Linked DNA regions of Kluyveromyces lactis. The protein of the gene in region 1 interacts with the protein of each later gene in a pairwise test. Links are inferred from orthologs where the notes say so. Each region holds a gene or a part of one and is shown in the gene's direction. Other genes may lie near its edges. The genes, in order: NAB6 and PAP1.

The links.
Region 2: the proteins of NAB6 (region 1) and PAP1 interact in binary tests that used the Saccharomyces cerevisiae proteins (3 or more experiments, as listed by UniProt). The link is inferred for Kluyveromyces lactis from reciprocal best matches to the Saccharomyces cerevisiae genes NAB6 and PAP1.

What each region holds. Positions count from the first base shown.
Region 1 is NC_006040.1:127,877-132,326, forward strand, and holds the start of NAB6 (Nab6p), read left to right. Parts: upstream 1-1,474; coding exon 1,475-4,450. Other genes in the region: DNA-binding transcription factor CAT8, read left to right, coding at 1-479. UniProt on the Saccharomyces cerevisiae protein: RNA-binding protein that associates with mRNAs encoding cell wall proteins.
Region 2 is NC_006038.1:1,161,312-1,165,100, reverse strand, and holds PAP1 (polynucleotide adenylyltransferase PAP1), read left to right. Parts: upstream 1-1,162; coding exon 1,163-2,959; downstream 2,960-3,789. UniProt on the Saccharomyces cerevisiae protein: Polymerase component of the cleavage and polyadenylation factor (CPF) complex, which plays a key role in polyadenylation-dependent pre-mRNA 3'-end formation and cooperates with cleavage factors including the CFIA complex and NAB4/CFIB.

The sequences.
Region 1 (4,450 bases):
AATTGAATAGTAACAATGGGAATGACGGTTTGAACCCTGCGACAGGCATTGTACTTGAATCTGGCGACAATGATTCTACTAATGCATCAGTCGTTCAATTACAACAGCACCAACAGCAGACTCACCACCCTCCCTCCCACAACAGCTCATCTATTCCAATGGGAAAGCAATCCAGCACATCAGATCGTCAAAACAGCCATCATCAAGATAATGTTGGAAGTTTCCATTCCATGCATTCTCCGACTATTCCAGAGCAAACCTCTGCACAGGGATTGCATCAACATCAGATGCTTGGCATGCCTAACAGCACACTAAACTCGGATACCAATACCGGTGGTGCTAATGTTACAAATAGTATTTCAAGCACCAATCGCCGTGGACCAAGACGCCGTTGGAATAACGCTGCATCATCGTCAGACCCTAATTCTGCTGGTGATTCATCAGTGTCCGATTTGCTGCGCTGGCAAAATGGAAATTGAAAGTAGCCAGGCTTCCGAAGGACATCAGGACAAACTTCATACTATCATTACCAAGTACTATCCTGTATATAGCATTGGATAAGAAGTATAATAATACATATACACTTTTCGACTCGTAAACATACCAGATAACCAGATCATAGTCGTAGTCGCCATGAACTTGGTACTAGTTCCCACGTAAAAAAGGACAAGTAGAGAAACTGAACCCTCCATACAGGGTTCAGCTTCTCTTGTATGTTTAATACACCCAAACACCACATTTATTGCCATACATTCTTAAAGGGTGTCTTCTGTCTTACAGTGAGACCAAAAAAAAAAATTGTTTTTGCACTTGAAACCTTTTTAGTTTTATTACAGAAAATAGAACTTGAGAACAGTTAGACTTAATGGAGACCAAAGAATTGAGTATTTGCCATTTAGGCCTATAAAGATAACAATAGCCGCAAGAGGATTTAAACTCTACCATTCCACGCTTGATTGCCCACAATATTACTGGCGATTTCACTTCTACGCTTTTTTGGTTACTTCTTTGACTGCCAATTTCAGTTAATCGGAATACTGTTTGTTTAAATTGGTATCTTTTTTTAGGACCGGTGATTTATTATTAGTACAAGTGAAGTGAAGTAGCAAAGACAATTGTAGCAATAGTACTCGTTTTACTGTTATCATCACATCCCGTTCTGAAATTTCTCGGTTTCTCTTTAGGAATAAGCGTTCAGTGAAGCACTTTTTACCTTTTTTTTTCTGTATAGCAATCGTGCTTTTCGAGTCACAGAGATCAACATCCTTTGTTTGTGTTGTGGGTACTTCTGATTGAGGAAGAATTAAAGTCAAGATTTCCAACGATTCGGATATTTGGTGTTCTACAATTGTGGATAACAAGATAATAGTACATCGCATTATTTTTGGCAGCATTGTTGAGGGGAGTTGAATGTTTGTGGAATTAAAGAATTTGAAACGTTGAAGAAGAAACAAACCGTGCATACATAAACCCAATGAATTCGGGAACATCGGCTAATCATTATCAGCCTTCTCTGATATATGGGAGACCGCCTGTTGGTTACGAACAACAGGTCTACGATGTGGCAGGAAGAAATGGTGGATCGAATCACCATCCACCGCAGTATATATATTACACACATCGTGGTGGTTCTATGCCAGGTTCTATACCAGGAAGTATTCCTGGAACAGTTAGTATTCCTCAGACTCCATTTGATCCTGTTTATGGGATTACACTGTTGCCGAGTCATCTGTTAGTTGGATCGCCGTTTGTAAACACTCCACAAACTGGTGGACCTATGTCTGCTGGTACTGGAGCGAATGGTGTCCCAGTAGGATCTAATAACATAATGAATTTGCGTAATTCAAGCTATAAATCATTCTACCCACCGGCACCGAAATTGAGGCCAGCACCATCTGGTAGATTGAGAAGAGCAAGACGAAAAGATAACAAACCCCAGCAACAACGAGAACATTCTCGTGACAATAACAAAGTGGAAGCAGAATATGATGTTGAAAGAGGTTACAGCTCTAGATCTGCATCTAGATCTCAATCTTTTTCAGCTTCCACATCAGGTTCCATGTCTGGCAGCTCGGGTCCCAAATCAATACGAAAGACTATCGATTCTGAATTGAAAATCCAATTCCAATATAGCATTCTACCTAAGGGGAATGATACTTATAGAAGCAGATCGTTGCTTTTTACAAATGTTAATTCTGAGCTAGATATTGTCGAGTTCTTACAAAAAGTTGCAAAAAATTACCCAATAGAAAGCATTTACTTGATCAAAGATGAGGACACCGGCGATGACATTGAAAACCTTAATACTAGTAATAATGATGATGATCCTAATCAAAATTATAATGCTGATAATAATAACAATAGCAAGAGAGAGGATGATAAGGATAAGGAATCAGCCCCTGCTTTAACCAAACAGATTGCCATTTCTCCGTCAAGTTGTTCACAACAGTCATATCTTTTAAGTTTCTTCACAAAAGAATCATGCCTAGATTTCTACAATAATTTATTACAGAGATATGCTGAAATCAAAAACGCAGTAAAGTCTGACCAGTTAGCAATGAACTTCGTTAAGATTCAAGACGATGAGGAATGGATGGCCAACTTGAAGATGAACGTTATTTCTTTGGGTGCCACTAGAAGCCTTTATGTCGAGTTTGCGGACGATAGCGTTACTTCAGACACTATTTGGGACACACTCCCGTTTTTGAAGAATTCAGGTAAATATGTTGTTATTGATGTAGATGTGGTTACTACTGATGAAAGGAGAAAAAACTTCGGATTACATTATTGTTTACTCCATTTTCTCTCGGTAACAATGGCTTTAGAAGTTAAAGAACTGTTAGAAACCGGAGATGAAGCAGTATCAAGAGTGTCATTCGTGACACCTGCCAATTCGGCAGATAAGGAAATGAGAAGAAGAAGAAGCAGCGCCATTTCGTTAAAGCAAGAAGCAAGTCCTCAAATGTTCTCGACGGATTCTCGCTCTCGCTCTCGTTCTAGTAATGTGTCGTTGCCTCTTTCGGAACAAGTCAGCACAGCATCTACAGATATCAGTACGCCGATCTATGAAGAATTTGATGGTAATCTAACTTGGTCCACCCTAATTGTAGATGTCTCTGAGTACAAAGAGCCCATTGTAAACGAATTTGACCATCATTTAAACTCGTGGTCTATCTCCAAGCCAACGACTCTCTATATGCATGAATCTGGAACTACAAACTTCTCATCCAGTAATCTTTCGGATGACATTGATCCTCTATCCATCTCTAGTCATGACCCTGTTCCTCAACAGATGTTACTTAACGAATATCCTTATATTATGGAACCATTAATGCCACCCCAGATCACTCAAACGATACAAAATCAATATTCCAAAAGCATACAAGCGGTAAATGCCGGCATGGAACACAGAACTGTTTATATCGGAAATATTAACCCAAGGTCTAAAGCAGAGGACATTTGTAACGTTGTTCGTGGTGGTATCTTGCAGCATATTAAATGGGTATCTCATAAAAGGATTTGTTTTGTAACATTCATCGAAACTGCCGCAGCAGTTCAGTTTTATGCGAATACTACACTTGAGCCAATCATATTACATGGGAATGTCCTAAAAGTTGGTTGGGGTCAGAATCCTGGTCCATTACCTAAGAATATCGCTCTGGCAGTTACTGTTGGTGCATCGAGAAATGTTTATGTCAGCTTACCTGATAAGGCCTTCAAGGATAAATTCATAAACGACCCTCAGTTCAAAGAGTACCAAAATAGGTACAAGATTCCAAATATTGCACAATTGAAATCTGATTTTGGTGCCTATGGTACCATGGAACAGGTCAACTTCCATTCAGACGGTCATTGTTGTTGGATAAATTTCATGAACATTAGCAGTGCTATAAAATTGGTTGAAGAATATTCCGACACAAAGGATAATCTATTCCATAAAAAGACTGAAGGAAGATATGTGGGTTTGATTATAGGGTACGGCAAGGACAGATGTGGTAATATTAACAGAAATTTGGTCTTCAACAAAAACGGCAAAGGTAGCAATCATAATCGTAACTCACAAAACAATAACACAAGTAGGGGCCACAGACAACGTAAGCAGAGTGCAACATTTTCTAACGCATCAAACATTGACTTAAAACATTCTTCAGTTGCGAATGCTTCTATAGCAAATGGCAAGTTGGATCGCCCAATGGATAATAAGAACTTCTTATCGTTAGGGGTTGATGCAGATTTCAGTGAGGGACTTGGAATATCTATTTCACCTCAAGCGGAAAGAAGGCATGTGTTAAGTGACAATGAGGATGAACGAGAAGAACATAGAGAAGAAGAACAAGAAGAGTGTGGAAACAGGCACAGCGGGGTAAATGGGTCTAACGTTGCGAACAACGAGGCTATAAATGAAACTCTCATAAATGGTACATATACCGCTGATATACCAGAGGATACT
Region 2 (3,789 bases), on another chromosome or scaffold:
CTGGGTCTTGAAATCGATTTTGAATTTTTCTGGCTTTAAAAATTTAGTACAAAATGAAATAATATAACAAAGTGTGAACTTTTGAACTTACTATACCTTTTATTTGGTTTGAGTGTGTGAACAGGAGAAGCTAAAGTTAAAACCAACACTACATATCCCTTTGGTCCAAACTTGCCAGTACCTTCAAATTGAACTTCTTAATTCTTTCATTCGCTGGACACTCCTGAGACAGAATTGGTAAAGGAAAGAAATAAAGGGAAACGGAATTCTCAGACAATACAATATTAACTGGCTGATTTTTTTGTCTACACACATATACACACAGTCTCTCTCTATCTGAATATAACTGGATAGTTTGTGCTAGTTACGTTTTTAGTTCAAATTAGTGACGAGCACATCTTTTGATATTGGTCACCTGTTACCAACAACAACAACAACAAAAGAAGTTAGTGTCAGACTCACAAATACTGAAAAAAGCCTTTGCATTGGAACTTTGGTGTATTAACTCTCGGAGATTATACACATCCGACACTTATTTGATTATCCTCATCACGAATTAACTTGTGAGGAGTACTTTTGACGGTTCTTTCTGATCTAGGAAGACGTAGCAAGTCAAAACTCATTCAGGTTGTCGACTTCAGTACAAGACGCACAGGTTTTCAAGGACACTTACGATAATTCAAGGACGGTGATTGGCGACCAGTTGAATTCAATAAGCTCGGATCTTGCAGGGCTCAAGGTTTCCGGTTGTGATATCACTTCTGAGGTAGTACTAGGTGCAGTAGGGCTAATAGAAGAAGAAGAGGAAGGGGGAAAAAGTTCAGAATCTGATAGTGTAGGATCATCTCCCTCCAGACAAAGAAACCGGCATTTAAATCTCAATACAAGCCGAAACACATATCAGCATCATTTGCAACATCACCACCATTATAATCAAAGACAGCAGCATCAGCAACAATATTTCAATCAGCCAGGGCTACATTACGTTTATTATTCACCGGCTAACTCACCAACATCGTCTCCAATCTCAAAGAAGTTTCAGAACTACATTCCAAGAAGACAATCCGCGGACAGCCTTTTAAATACCGGGGGAAGTGATTATCTGGATAGAGCAAGGAATAGAAATATACCAGATTACAGAAACAAATATTATCCCAATACAATGTCCCAGAAAAAGATCTTTGGTGTAACGGGCCCGATTTCCACGGAGGGTCCCACTGCTGCCGAAAACGCATTAAACGATTCATTAATTCAACAGCTTAAGAAAGAAGGCTCTTTCGAAACGGAGGAAGAAACTGGGAAGAGAGTGGCAGTATTAGAAATCTTCCAAAAATTGACACAAGAGTTTGTATATCAGGTTTCAAAGAAGAAAAACATGTCCGATGGTATGGCTCGTGATGCTGGTGGTAAAGTATTTACCTTTGGTTCTTATAGATTAGGGGTCCATGGTCCAGGTTCCGATATTGATACGTTGATTGTGGTACCTAAACATGTATCCAGAGAAGATTTCTTTACCGTATTCGATGCTCTGTTGAGGGAAAGACCAGAACTTGAAGAAATTGCGTCAGTTCCAGATGCTTTCGTCCCAATTATCAAGATCAAATTCAATGGAATCTCCATCGATTTAATCTTTGCTAAACTAGATTTACCCCAGGTTCCAATAAGTTTAACTTTAAGTGATAAGAATTTGTTAAGGAACGTTGATGAAAAGGATCTAAGAGCGTTGAACGGTACCAGAGTCACCGATGAAATTTTAGAATTAGTGCCTAATAAAACATCTTTCAAGATTGCATTAAGAGCTATTAAGATATGGGCAAAGAGAAGAGCAGTATATGCAAACGTCTTTGGGTTCCCCGGTGGTGTCGCATGGGCGATGTTTGTGGTAAGAATCTGCCAATTGTACCCTAATGCATGCAGTGCGGTAATAATATCAAAATTCTTTCAGATTTTATCACGTTGGAAATGGCCACAACCTGTCCTATTGAAGCCAATCGAAGATGGTCCTTTACAGGTCCGCGTGTGGAACCCCAAAATATATGCACAGGATAGATCCCACAAGATGCCTGTGATTACACCAGCGTACCCTTCAATGTGTGCTACCCACAACATCAGTGAGTCAACTAAGAAAGTGATCTTATCTGAATTACAAAGAGGTGTAGAGGTCACACAAAAGATTTTCTCTAATGAACTATCATGGGAAGATTTGTTCAAGAAACACGATTTCTTCTTCAAGTATAAATTCTACCTAACGGTTATGGTCTCAACAAAGGGTTCCGACGAACAACACTTGAAATGGAGTGGATTCGTTGAAAGTAAGCTCAGATTGTTGGTCCAAAAACTAGAAGTTTTACCAGGAATCAATCTGGCGCATCCATTTATTGAACCATACGAGTCCAGCTATATATACAATAATGAGGATGAATATAAAGAGATCATGAACAACTACGGTACACATAAGACAGAAGGTGTATTGAAAAAGTTTACAAAAATAACTGATGCAAACAAAGACGATGAAGCCTCCAAAAACTCTAATCAAGTTCACATAGCCACGATGTTTATTGGACTTGACATCAACACAGAAGAGAGTAAAAAAATTGATATACACATTCCATGTCAAGAATTTTTCAATTTGTGTCGCTCATTACCCGACTATGAGGACCCTGAAACGTATTCTTTAATCATCAAGTATGTGAAAGTGCATGACTTACCGGATGAAGTCTACCAAGAGGGGGAAACACGTCCTGTGAAATCCAGCAAGAAGAGGAAACCGGAGAAAAGTGGTGAAAAGAGTAAAAGACCTAAATCCGATCCGTCCAATGGCAAGTCTACTACTACTACCAGTGGCAACACCAATTCTTCTTCCCCAGTAAATGACGCTAATTCCACTCCATCATCAAATGTCCCAGCAAACAGTAATACCAATGCTATCACCGAAGACCCAATGACTGCGACAACATAGAAAGTCTTACGATCCGTTCATACTACCTCTTCAGGGTTCGCATAATGCATCATGGCCAAGGCAACGTGAGTCTCCCCTCAAGCCTTAGCCCCAGTCATTAACAAAAGTTTCTCTACATTGAACGCGACACATAAACTCAACTTTCCCACTAGATAAACTAAGTAAAAAAAAAAAAACGTCTCATATCACAGAAAAGAACAGATCATTACTATAATAGTGAAGCTGTCCGCCACATACCCCATTGTTTTGCATAAACCTACCATCTCTAATCTGAATATTTTTGTTCTATCATCAAATATGTTTAACTGGTACTTATTTTTAGTCAGCTATGTGCCTTATCTTGATACATAATTGACAGATGCGGACAAAAAGAGTCAAAGGAAAACCACAAGAGATAGAAGGTTAGCCAGTTAGACACTGATAAAATCCGAGAAAACAAGACGTTACCGATACCCGAACAGTATCATCTGGTTCAGCCGCTGTTGATTCAACAGGCAAGTTCCTATTTCAAGTTTAACTTACAAATACACCCATAGTGATGAAAGAAAGCCACACTTTTCAGTAAAAGAAAGAAGCAACGTGACAGAAAGAGATCGAGTAATGGGAGTGAAGGAAAAGAAACAAGAAGTTGAAATTTGAAGGTAACTTAGGTAACAAGTGTCTTGTGAAGGGTTTTTATCTGTCAAAGAGGTTCAAGAAGCCATTTAAGGGCCATTTTCGAAAGGCTACTTTCTTTCATTTCGCCCAGCACTTGGATTTTGCTTTCTTTTGACGCAATTATTTCGTTTTTCCTCTTTGTACCCTTGTTTCTTTGTATTAATTATTGTGCC